3 linked regions of the Saccharomyces cerevisiae S288C genome follow. Changing the gene in region 3 together with the main gene of any one other region gives a genetic interaction. Each region holds a gene or a part of one and is shown on either strand. Other genes may lie near its edges.

What was found.
Region 1: mutations in AVT7 (region 3) and HUL5 together harm fitness more than expected from each alone (negative genetic interaction), as found in Saccharomyces cerevisiae (one large-scale study listed by BioGRID).
Region 2: mutations in AVT7 (region 3) and PPT1 together harm fitness more than expected from each alone (negative genetic interaction), as found in Saccharomyces cerevisiae (one large-scale study listed by BioGRID).

What each region holds. Positions count from the first base shown.
Region 1 is NC_001139.9:236,356-241,692, reverse strand, and holds HUL5 (ubiquitin-ubiquitin ligase HUL5), read right to left. Parts: upstream 3,341-5,337; coding exon 608-3,340; downstream 1-607. Other genes in the region: YGL140C (uncharacterized protein), read left to right, coding at 1-340; GPI10 (putative glycosylphosphatidylinositol-alpha 1,2 mannosyltransferase), read left to right, coding at 3,574-5,337. UniProt on the Saccharomyces cerevisiae protein: Non-essential E3 ubiquitin-protein ligase that specifically catalyzes 'Lys-29'- and 'Lys-48'-linked polyubiquitin chains.
Region 2 is NC_001139.9:736,091-739,835, forward strand, and holds PPT1 (protein serine/threonine phosphatase), read right to left. Parts: upstream 2,114-3,745; coding exon 572-2,113; downstream 1-571. UniProt on the Saccharomyces cerevisiae protein: Protein phosphatase that specifically binds to and dephosphorylates the molecular chaperone Hsp90 (HSC82 and HSP82). Dephosphorylation positively regulates the Hsp90 chaperone machinery.
Region 3 is NC_001141.2:197,374-201,102, forward strand, and holds AVT7 (Avt7p), read right to left. Parts: upstream 2,031-3,729; coding exon 558-2,030; downstream 1-557. Other genes in the region: AIM19 (Aim19p), read right to left, coding at 2,273-2,746; YIL086C (uncharacterized protein), read right to left, coding at 2,780-3,088; KTR7 (putative mannosyltransferase), read right to left, coding at 3,117-3,729. UniProt on the Saccharomyces cerevisiae protein: Probable amino acid transporter of unknown specificity.

The sequences.
Region 1 (5,337 bases), on a different chromosome or scaffold from region 3:
TACAAATTCTAATGAATCTCAAATTTCTCCTGATTCCACAAGAAGTTATGAGCCGGAATGTCCAGTGGCATACGAAAAAAATGATAATCCGGCAGCGTTGAATTTATTACGGATTGCTTCTCATAAAGCAGGCCAAAACGCGGATGGCTTACCAAAGACATTTAGAAATAGAGCATTTTCCATTACTTCTACCTCCGGCCAACTTTCAAGCTTAAGCAGACACAGCACCCTTGGTAATGCGGATCCTAATTATCTGAACGATGATGATGAAAGCTCTGATGATGATTTGCCATTAGCTTTGAAAATGGTGCTAAGTCACATGAAAGAAAAGAAGGACTAAGATATTGAAAAGTCCTAATGTAAGATAATTACCAATTTCATATTCATTGTCGATTTCACTTCGCTTAAAGAATTTTTACTGTTTGTTTTTTGTAAAGCCTTTCCAATAAAAAATAGAATGATAGATAAAGGTCATAACTAGAATGGTGGCGAACAAAGCAAAACTTAAATTATCTCTGCATACAAGCGTATAATTTCCTTATCTATAGTAATATATAAGAACTAGAAATCTGCCTATTAATTAATTACCTCCCTAATCTTCTGGGAATTATGATAAGTCAAACCTGGCGCCTGAGTTTATTGCATATAATAATTTCTCTCTCAAAATTGTTTTGTTTCTATAATCTGGCAATTTTAATAAATTAACACAGGTAGATGCCGTAGGCAGCCTGTATTTCTCTGTCCCTGCATTTCTGATACCAAATTTTGGATCTAATGCCTTGAAGCCTTGCAGAGGAGCTTGCGGAACGGACGTGACAAATTTCAAAAAATTCAATTTCTCTTCAAACTTAAACTCATTCAAAACCTCCCAAAAATCAACAATTGTCTGATCTTCTTCTTTATAACCCCCGTATTCTGTGTTAGATTTCAGATCGTCTAAATCGATATTATCTCTCTCACCTGATATTAACATTTGTAGTTCTATAGAGTTAAACATCTCCATCCAATGTGGGGCAATGATAACACTGAGCCCTCCATGGAATGCCGAAACTGGTTTGAAGCATCTTTTGTTTAATTTGTAATCCGTTACTTTAGTAACGTAGAGCAACACATTATCCTTCGTCACGTACGTTTTTGAACCATTCGGAATTAAGTCAACAACTTTTGCGGAACTTTCAGGCTCATCTATTTCAAAGGTTAAATCTAAAGACTTGATCTCGTCAGTGGTCATGTTCAATAATTTGATCAAATTATTATACAACACCGAATCATAGCTTCCCAGATCAGAAAAAGAAGATAAAAACCCGTTCGAGTAATTCAATAATTTTTTCAAAAAGAAATCAGCAAAAGATACATCTATCAAAACATGCTCATATAGACATTTGCCTACAACCTTTCCCAGAAACCATATATACTTAAGTTTCGTAGCGTCATAAACAACAGAAGGATATAATTCGTAGCGATCATTCGTCCGAAATAACTCGTGCTTTGGATCTTTAAATCCTTCATCAGACACAGTAGTTAAAAATTCCTTGGTAATGCCGCCCCCATCAATACCAGCTTCTTCACCAAATTCATTAATAAAAGTAACATCTAATGAAGCTTTGAACCTTTCTCCTATAGAGTTAAATGCGTTGAAAGCATCTTCTAAGACATTATCCCTAGAGATGATAGCGGATTGCTTCCTCATACCGGTGGAGGCCCAGGGGGTAAACATATTGATCAAGTTGTGATCGTCATCTAAAGATAATCGCTTCTTGTCCAGTGCGATGAACATATAAAATAAGTCCACCCTTTCTTCAAAAGGAATAAAAAATGGTAATTCCAAAAGTATTTCCAACTTTCGGAAACGTAATGATGACTTTAATCTCTTTTTCATTTTGTTCAATAATAAAGACTTCAAAGGAGGCCTTTCTTTATCAAGATCTATTTCCTTTTCCATATCCTCATCACTTTCCTCTTCTAAGTGTTCTCTATACAGATCTTCGTACTCCTGTAATTCTTCGTAAAATCTCAAATTTAAAAATTGCTTTTCAGAGTTTTCCCAATAGGTTGGATTATTCTCCGTGGATAGAAAGTGCAATCTTGAGTCCCTTTCGTAGACTTTGCTCAAAAGTGGTACTGCTTCCTTTAACATAGGGTTCCTTTCACTTTTAGGTAGTTCCCAATATTGTCGGAAAGTAAAATCTTTTAACGTGGATGTAAATTTCTTTAGTTCTTCGATAGGTATCACAGAGTTGTAGTCTAATAACTCCCGATCTGTCGATATTAAAAGGTGCATGTCGATAAGCTGTGCCAAAACTGAAAACAGGGGGTGAGCCTCAGTCTTGCTGGCGTTGAATTTAGTGTGAAAGAATTCCCATGAGAGCCTTCTCACGAAGTCTTTGTTAGACAGTAAGGTAATAAGGACAGAATTCTTACAGCTTTGATTGGGAGAGCTTGCAATGTAGCACATCAAATTCTTCACGTGATCTTCATCAGAAACGTAATTTGCAGTAGTAGCAATAACTTCGTCTATAAATGCCTTTTCATAAAATTTCAAGACATAGTCGTTATCACTACGCAAGACTGATGGAGCAATATGATTGTTGAAGTTTGGTATGAGTAGCTTGGCGATATTTTTTTGGCCACCTTTACTACAGTGTGAATATGTCTTTGCCATGTTATCCCATAATATCGGATTTGTGTTGATAAGTTGGGGCAAAAGGTTTCTTTCGGCAAGTATGCAATAAAACTGTAGTGCAAATGGCCGTTTTTCGTAAGATCCTATCGATATCGAAAAAATACTAATGGAGGCACTGCTATGCATTACTTCCCATGCTTCTATGACATCAGCTAGCTTAGAAGCTGAGGAATAACTCAAAAAGGAAGCCCGACAGAGATAAACGGATAGACTATCTAAAAATTCGTCAACTGTAGGGCAGTCCATGTTAAGATCGCTTAGAGTTTCAGCCACCAGTGCATCATCTTGATATAGCTTCAACAAGCTCAATAGCTGTCTGTTGCCTAAAGAATTAGGATAAGAACTCAAAAAATTATGAGATAATTTTAGCAGTTGCTGCAGATCATATTGAGAAATGTAATAGATTAATTTGCCCCCGTAAGCTGGTATCATATGAACAAGTTGCGAACTAGTAAATGTGTTTTTGAAGAGTCTCACATTTGAAAAATGTCTTCTGATGCTTTTTTGAATGGTTTTACTGGCGTCTTCTTTGAGCTTATCTTGTGCTCTCCTTTCACGTTCCCTTTTGGCCTTTTCCAGTAAATCCTTCTTTGAATTTCGAGTCCTATTCCCTAAATTGACATTTCTTCTCCTTGTTTGACCGGTGAAGTTTAACATTTTAAGTCAGAATCCTTTGAAATGCTGCTTGAGATAAATTATAACGCTTTGCCACTCGAATGAAGTTATAGGCGAGTCATCCTTAAAAGTTTAAGTGAGATCGTTATAGTGCGGAAAAGGCGAACTTTTAAGGTAAAAGAAATTCAAGCCATTCACACCATGAGGAACGGAAAAAGATAAAAGGCATTAAGATAGTGTAGGATTGTGTAATCCAACATAATATCTAACTTTCAATGGCTCACGAGGTTCATAGAATAAAACCTAAACTAGGACGGACCCAAATATTTTGGGTTTTTCTAGCCTTTAGAGTACTGAATGCAGTTCTGACGAGAACCTTCTTTCAGGCTGATGAGTTTTGGCAAGCATTGGAGCCGGCACATTGGAAGGCTTTCAAGTATGGTGAACTGACTTGGGAATGGAAATTCGGAGTTCGTAGCTATTTATTTCCGATGATTTTTGAGCTGACTTATAGATTGGTTTCTCTATCGTCAATCCTTCTTCACTATGCACTTCTTCTTCTCTCAACGATAGGGTCTGATTTATTAATTTTACTACTGCCGAAATATGAGTTAAGTTGGCAAGTCGCTGAAGACTTGAAGAGGCTTCCTTTTGATGTCACACGGTCGTTCGAATATTATGGTGTGATATATGCGCCAAAAATAGTTATGGCAGTACTAGCTTCCATAGGGGAATATTATATCGTAAGATTTGTTCAAAAGCTCTATTTACTTACACTTGATAAGAGAAACGAGAAGGAGGAAGAGGAGAGACGCAGCGGTTTATCCGAGATTACGAAGTTTGCACTGCTTTTAAGTTTAACTAATTTTTTTAATTGCTTTTTTATTACAAGAACGTTCATCAACTCTTTTGAAATGATTTTAACTTCTATTGCCCTCTACTACTGGGACTGGACAGGCGGACAAATGATAAAAGAGTCATCTTTTACTAAGTCGCTTATTTTTGCATTTCTGGCATGTTTGCAAAGACCCAGCAGTGGACTTATTTGGGTAATTCCCAGCATTTCCCTAATATTAAACTTGGTAGGCAAAAAGCAGTATCATTTACTTTTCATCACATTTTCCAAAGTTTTACGGTCTTTTTTTCTGGTATTTACTGCAAATGCAATTATCGACATGTATTTTTATGAAAAAGTAACGTTTCCCTTTTTCCGATTTCTAAAATTCAATTTCACAACACCATTATCAAAGTTTTATGGGGTAGCTCCTTGGCATTTTCATTTCTTTCAAAGCTTACCTATCGTATTAGGTGCAAGTATTCCCGCTTTTGCATTTGGATTATTTTTTCCACTAAGCAAAAGGAGTTTCCCAAAGAAGTATTTAAACCCGTTTTTCCAAGTGAAACTCACTATCTTGTTGAATCTGTTGGTGTACTCTACGTTACCTCATAAGGAATTTAGGTTCATCTTCCCATTACAGCCACTTTTCATATTAATATCATCATTTGGCCTTTTGAGACTTGATAGAGATTATTGGAAAAGACTATCTGGCCTAAAATCTTTACTCTGGCTTGTTCCATTCGTGTCGGTGTTCATCGCATTACTTTTGGACACATTCCACGAATCTGGATCTATCGAAGTTATGAAATTTTTACATGAAGAGCCAGAAATAGATAGTTTGGGATTCATAATGCCCTGTCATTCGACACCTGGTCAAAGCTATTTACACCGCAGTGACATTCAAGATCTGTGGTCGATTACTTGTAACCCTCCATTGCATTTACTTGGAGACCCAGAGGCTTACTCCAAACTAGAGACCTACATGGATGAAAGTGACCATTTGTATGACGATATATCGGCATTCATTTACAAAAATTTCCCACCGCCTTTTCGTAAGGATCTAAGGAGTCCAGGTAAAACATACAGCCACGAATGGCCAACATATTTGGTTGTTTTCGAGCACATGGAAAACGCATTTCTAAAGGATTTCCTGAAAGATTCATCATACATTGAATACAATAGATTCTTCAACTCTCTTGCG
Region 2 (3,745 bases), on a different chromosome or scaffold from region 3:
CGTCCTTCCCTAGCTGAACTACCCAAAAGTATAAATGCCTGAACAATTAGTTTAGATCCGAGATTCCGCGCTTCCACCACTTAGTATGATTCATATTTTATATAATATATAAGATAAGTAACATTCCGTGAATTAATCTGATAAACTGTTTTGACAACTGGTTACTTCCCTAAGACTGTTTATATTAGGATTGTCAAGACACTCCGGTATTACTCGAGCCCGTAATTCAACACAAGTGTAATTTCAATAGCTCGCGTGGCGTAATGGCAACGCGTCTGACTTCTAATCAGAAGATTATGGGTTCGACCCCCATCGTGAGTGTTGTTTTTTTAAATAATTTCCTGGCTGAAGGGAATAATGTTGTTCAACAACGAAGATATTTCTTATTTTTCTAAGAGGTATTATGATATGATACATGACAATAAACATTATGAAATTTTTTGTGAAAGATGTATAAATTTATAAAAAAAAAAAAAAAGTTACTTCCTCCACTTCGTTAGCTCATATTAGTTTCTTTTATTCCCAGACTTTCTGCTTTTGATAATAATCTAGCAAAATAGAAAAGGCATGACTATAAACCAAAACCACCATTAGAATAGGCCATTGGTTTTATATCTGGGTGCTCAACAGCTTCGAATGTCTCAATTATTAGATTTTGGTCGTCATTCCTGCCAGCCTGTAAAATACCATGGCCTGGTACAACATGAATAACACCCCCAAGATTACCTTGGCTATCACAATAGTTTGGAGCACTGAAAACTGTCATTAATTTACCCTTCTGCTCGAATTGCACACCACCCATTCTTAACTCGTGAGATCTAAAAATCTTGCGCAATTTGTTGTTTCTTAGAAATCTATCTGTAATGTCGGGTCCAAAAGCATGTCCTAAACCACGCTGAGAAGGACCCATCCCGTTGGCTTCTTGTGGGTCCGCCCATAGAAGTTCCATAAAGGCGCCATCTCTAGGTGGTTGGGCAAATCTATCAATATTCTTGAAATCAGACAAAGTTGCTGAAGGATCACTTGGTAAACCACCATGCATTACAAGGTAATCATTATTAATTAAGGTAGCCAATGGAAGGCTCTCAAAACTTTGTGCAAACATGTTAAATATCCTTTGTGAATATTTGTATTTACACTCATCTTCAAACCCATAGATTTTGTTCATATTATCACTCTCATGATTACCTCTGTTCAAAAAGAAATTATTTGGATGTAATATTTTCAAACAGTAGAATAATAGTGCAACTTCACACGACCAAGAACCACGGTCGACAAAATCACCATTGAATAGATAAGTGTGCTTAGGACCTACTTTACCAAACTTGCGAAATAAATTCAAAACATCATAAAATTGGCCATGCGTATCACCACATACTGATATCTTAACATCAGGAGTAGAGTTATTTTCTAGTTCTACCATAGATGGCTCTTGACGAAATAAGGTATCAGCATGAGAGATAATAGCTGCAACGTACTTTTTTGGTAAATATTTTCCCTTTAGGAAAAGATCGTTAACCATTTTGGAAATAAACTCTTGAGACATGTTCTTGATCTTTGCACCTTTAAAGGCATTCTTATCGTCATACAGCTGTTCAAATTCTAACTTTGGACCTTCATAATTGGCTAAATCTGCATTAGCATCAAATGAACTCAAGTTCAAAGTCTGACACAAACTGATCTTGGCTTCATTTTCTGCGCCTCCGATAGCTTTCCTAAATCTTTCTTCTCTAATGAACCTATCACATGTAAGTAACGCCTTAGTAGCAGCCGGATCATTGGGCTTCGCCTTTAGAAGCACATTCAAATCTTTCCTAGCCTTTTTAAATTCTAGCAGAGCCATGCAGGATAATGCACGTCTATGATAAGCTTTGATATTTTTGGGATCCAGTTTAATGGCTTCATCACAGTCATTTAAAGCGCTTTGAAAGTTATCTACCTTAAAGTGAGCAAATGCTCTGTTCGAAAAATAGATAGACTGTGTAGAATCTAAATCGATCGCCTCTGTATATTTTTCAATGGCCTTTAAAAAATGTTTTTCCTTCACAAAAACATTTCCTTCGTTCTTTCTTTCAAGTGCCTTCGCGCGATCTGCTGCTGTGGGTGTTGACATATTCGAGATATTTGATTATACCAAGGCAAGCGTTATTTCTTGCCTCTAAAATTGTTAAAGTTCTGTGTCAAGCTCTATAAGCTGTTTTCGCCAATTTTCTTACCTCATCTGTGAAATTTTTCAGTTTCCCGCCGTCGTTTTTTTCCCTGGTTTAGCGTTTTAACGGAAAAAGAAATACATACATACAATGATTGAAAAAATATTTTCATAAAGAAGAAAATGAGAAGGAACTTTTGAGGACTAGAAGTGTTCCTGATAATTGTCTCAGCCAGAATTTTCAGTGGCCAAGGTACGAACAAGAAACTGCTAAAAGGAAAAAAAATACTCAGAATAACAGAAGATGACAGACAGTATTGTGGAACCCCAACAATTATCTCAAAATTTACCTATTTCTTAAGTATAAACAGTACACTGCATCAGTGGTATTAGATTTGTCATGGTGTAAAATTTTATGATAAAAAAATACAACATGGCGGGCGTAAAATAAAATACATATTCGTAATCCTGGAATATTACGCCAACTACAACCAATAACTTATGATTATATTACCAGAATATTATCATGTATGGCTCTCAAAATATGACATAAATGGTTTCTATTAAAAGCATCATCAATTCAATGAAGCTGAAATTTCAAGGATTGGTGATGTAATAGAACAATGAGCGGCGATATCATAGAACGAAAAAAGAAGTAATCGTCATTTTTTGTAGCACTCTTATTTCCTTTTTTAGAGTTCTAATCCTCAAGGTGAAACCGTAACATATGCATATACTTAACGATACCGCCTTCTTTGAAAATTAGAAGCCTTATATCTATTTCGAACGCACATATGTTGTCATACACAATGCGACACATGAAAATACTACTCTTTACACCTGTATTATCAAACTATTAATCAGTGACTTCCGAAAAAAATAGGTCTCTTGGCCCAGTTGGTTAAGGCACCGTGCTAATAACGCGGGGATCAGCGGTTCGATCCCGCTAGAGACCATTTACTTTTTAGAATGCAAATATAAGATCCCGATAAATCATAGAACCACCACTTACTTATTCACTTATGTGGTCCTTCCTGCTGTGGGCAGAGAGCGATTTGCACGTACAAAGCGATCAAATTACGAACAAAACAATACATAAGAGGTTTGGACACGTTCTTAAGGCTAACTCCACATTGCGATAACAAGATTAAAGTGAGCTCCTGCTCATTCCTAATTGGAACTCATCATGCCTCCCATCAAGGTGGAGCCTGGATTTTACTAAAGAAACCGTTCGAACGGCTCTGTATTTACTAAGAGGGGGATATATCAAATCGTGGAAAACATGAGAGAACAGTCTCGTTGCGTGCAACAGCCGCTATCCTGCTGCTCTCTGCATAACTGGACCTTGCGTATTGGGTTCATTCTTTTGGCTTTGTGAAACGATTCACAAAGCCATACGTCCGTAGTATGGACCCTGCAGGAATGGTCTACATTTTCTATCTACTAGTAAAGCTTTATTCACATATGGGTGCCGCACGGCGCGGGTTTTTGCAAATTTTCTTAGCATTGACTCATGGCAAGATTTCTCCAGAAAATCAGTAAAGCCTCATCCAGCCTCTCTTCTTGAAAAAATTATGACTTTGAATCGCATATTTC
Region 3 (3,729 bases):
CTCCAACTTCAATGACAGCTTCTCATAACTTGCGTCACCATTTAACACCGTATATGATAATATATTGATAGTGTAACTACTAGTTGATAGATGATGGTTGATTTTTACTCCAACAGGTTTTTATTCCTACAATTTTCCGGACATATATATATAAATAAAGATCATTCATATTTACTGATATGGTAACATGTTTTTCTATTCAAATCAAGCTAATCAAATCCGATGTAGTGTAACGGCTATCACATCACGTTCTCACCGTGGAGACCGGGGTTCGACTCCCCGCTTCGGAGTTATTTTTTATTCTTTTTTTTTTAGGGACTATTTAGGCAGTATTTTTACCACTAAAGCGCATGAAGTCACATTCTCTGAGCCTGCTCCATTTTTTCAGGGATCTTTATTGTTTAGCAGGGTAATACCTTTTTGTAAGTGCCATAGAATAAAGTATTAAACTAGTCGATGATCGCGTTAAGCATAAAACTTTGAGTCTGCTGTCTCTGATTCTATTTACTATTTACTATATACTGTTTTATACTTCTCTTGCATGACTATTGGTCCATTTAGGCTTCATCTGAACGGTTGAATACAGTTACATACAATGACAAAAACATCACAGATAGTCCGTAGAAGACTAGCAATAAGCTGCACCTTTTGTAAAATCTATCTTTTGGTGGAATCATCTTCCCAATAGCCAAAGAATCCAAGCCTATTAATTTGTAACCTAATAATCCAGGTAAAGTGAATGAAATAGACGTTGAACCTGTAGCCCCTACAAATGAAAGAACCAGTGCAAATGACTGGACAGACAACGCCAAGGTATACATGCTTATTAGTAATAATGCAGTAATCCAGTAAAATCTAGACTTAACAAATGGCGCATGATGCTCGTTATCCCCGGCGACCGCCATAGTCCCTCTTTCATCATTATTGTTCTCTTGACTTTCAATTGAACCATTATCAAAGTTCCCGTTAGGTAGTAAACATTCTTGCTCGTTATAAGAAGTTGCGTCTAGTGCATCACTGGGCTGGGCTGGATCTTCCACAGTCATGCTAATTGGTCTTAGGTTGGAAGCACGAGTGTATTCCGAAACTTGTGGGTCCTCTTCGGGATTTGCCCCACCATAAGTGATCTCAATCCAGATGATGACATTGTTAACTGCTATGCGCAGCGGATGAAAGAGAAGCGGGAAGGAAAGAATTAACATTGAGCCAAGACAGAATTTGCCAATTACTATCCAAATTGAGTTAGGATCGTAGTTCAACATTAAATTACCCAAGGTTTCATTACCGAAGGTTAAATATCCTGATAAACCAACGATCAAAAATAGTGCTGTTGATAAGGATATCGAATTATTGATAACGAAAGTGATATTTTCCATGCTGTTGTCTTTTAATTCATTTATCATGGGGAATAGGTTCATTGATCCCGTAAAAGCAAAAATTATAATGCTAAAAGTTGATAATAATCCTTTAAAGTCGTGAATTTTCCACCAGCATATGTCATTTCTTAATATATTTGTTAATTCACCCTTTCCCAGCTCAAACACAAAATGACTGAACACCAGAATTGATATGTATGCTAGCGCGAAAAGACCTAGAATACTAGAATACTTCAATTGATCTAGTTTCTTCACTAAACATAGGGGAATGATGATTACAGCTGATGCAATTATCCAATAATTTCTTTCACCACCAAACAGTCCTGGAAAGAGATCACCAATAAGAACTAAGTAACTTAAGCCCACACCAAAGCATTGAACTATCATTGCCAAATCAAAAATTGGGGCCAAAGTGGGATAGGTGAGCATGCATAATGTGAAGAAAGAAGAGTTTCTTGGATTAATTAAGGTCTTGGAACATTTCGATAGCACAAAGAGACCCAGACCGGATGTTACCGCCGCCAATAATGTAAGAATAACCCCTACCAGAACACCATCGCTTTTAAAACTGTACGGAATGGCAAGTGTACCAGCGCCAACTATTGTCTTAACGAGATTCGCCGTAGACGAAAGAGCACTTGATGTAGCCTCCATACCTTAGAATTCCTTTTCTCTTTGATGCTATGTCCTGATTGTAGAATTCGCCTTTCCGTTGACGCTTGTTCTTGGCGTCTTATCTATTTGAGGGTCAAATCTGACTTCGGATGAAGAAGTTATGAACGTATGATAAGAGGTGAAAGATGTGGAAGCAAATCCATTCATGTTAAGTCACGTGGTTCATACAGATAATACAGAGGATACAAAATTAAATATTAAGACATTAATAGATGTAAGCATCACTGGAATCCGGTAGCAAGGAACCGTTGGCCATAAAGGACTGCGTTGGCCAATGAAACCGAGGATAGCACCAACGGCCAAGTTCTTCCATATCTTAACGCACTAAAGGACTTCTTGCCCCCTACAATCAAATATAAGGCGGACCATGTAGCAATGAAGCCAGCCCCATTTTCCAAGTCGTTGTCATAGATCATGTATGCACCTATAGCTTGCATTGTAGAAAAGAAAAGGGCGGTTTTAGTAGTTATACCGATTCTGGCAGTAGAAGATTTAGAGAATACCCTAGACATTGGTATCGAGAGGGCAGGAGATTGCGTTGGAGGCACTTTAAAGCTTGGGGATAGCACCGGAGTGGATGCTAATAGTGCTGCGTTTGCGAGCGCAGGATAAGGTGTCCTTGTCAATGCATATAGCCGGCGAAATGGTGATAGAAGTTCATCTTTGGCATCGTCAGTAGCGGGTTTAGCAGACATTTCTTGTGTGTTAAGTATATTGGAAATCGTAGTTTATAGAATCTTTTCGTCAGATTTGCCTTTTCCCTTCGCATGTCTCCCTAAAGGCCGTTTCTTGAAATATCTTGGACAAAAGAAGGTAATGCTTTTATAAGTTAGAAGTGACCCCTTGGCCGAAGAATTGATGTAATTGAATTCTGAAATATTGAAAATAGTAGCTACATTGCCATCAAAACCTCCATGAGTTAAATATGAATTGTTATTAATGTAAACAAACTTAGATGTGGTCCGAAGACTGTTGAGTACACCGCCAGTTCGTAGATATCTGGAGAAGTTGGTAGACTCTTTTATAATTTTGTTCATACGTATAAATGTATAGAAAACACTGTATCTATTCAATTACTCTAAAATTTTCTCTTCTGATCTCTTCAATCACGTCTTTGTCCTTTATGGAGGGCTTGTAACAACCAGGGAATTCCTTCTCATATTCCCTGCCGTGAAGCAATTCAAAAAAAATATCCATGCAAGGGGTGGAGTGGTCTTCGATGTCTTCACCTTTCTTGGGGCACACGCATCGACATCCACATCCGAAGTTATAACCTTCATCGAAAGTGTTGAGATTTTCTTGGCTTTGTAAGGCATTCTTCGGACAATGCTGCAGCGATGAGTGTCTATAACCAATGTCTCTGAAATAATGAACGTCTTCTAGATCCAAGGTCATTCCCAACCCAATTGAATGAATTGGCGCGTCACCCCACCTTTCAGTCCAGAAACCTCCAGACTCTTCCAAAAATTTAAAATAGGCGTTATAGATCTCATTGTCGAATAAATCAACGCGGGCAATTTCAAAGTTACTCCAAAAATGACACAAATTGTAATCTTCCCCTTCAAGGGAATCCTCTAGCATTGGCACCTTAGAGCGGGCCCTTTCAACGAGATATTGTATACCTTCCAAATCTTCCTCATTATTGACTTGACCATGATTCTCTAGCAAAAAGTCTACC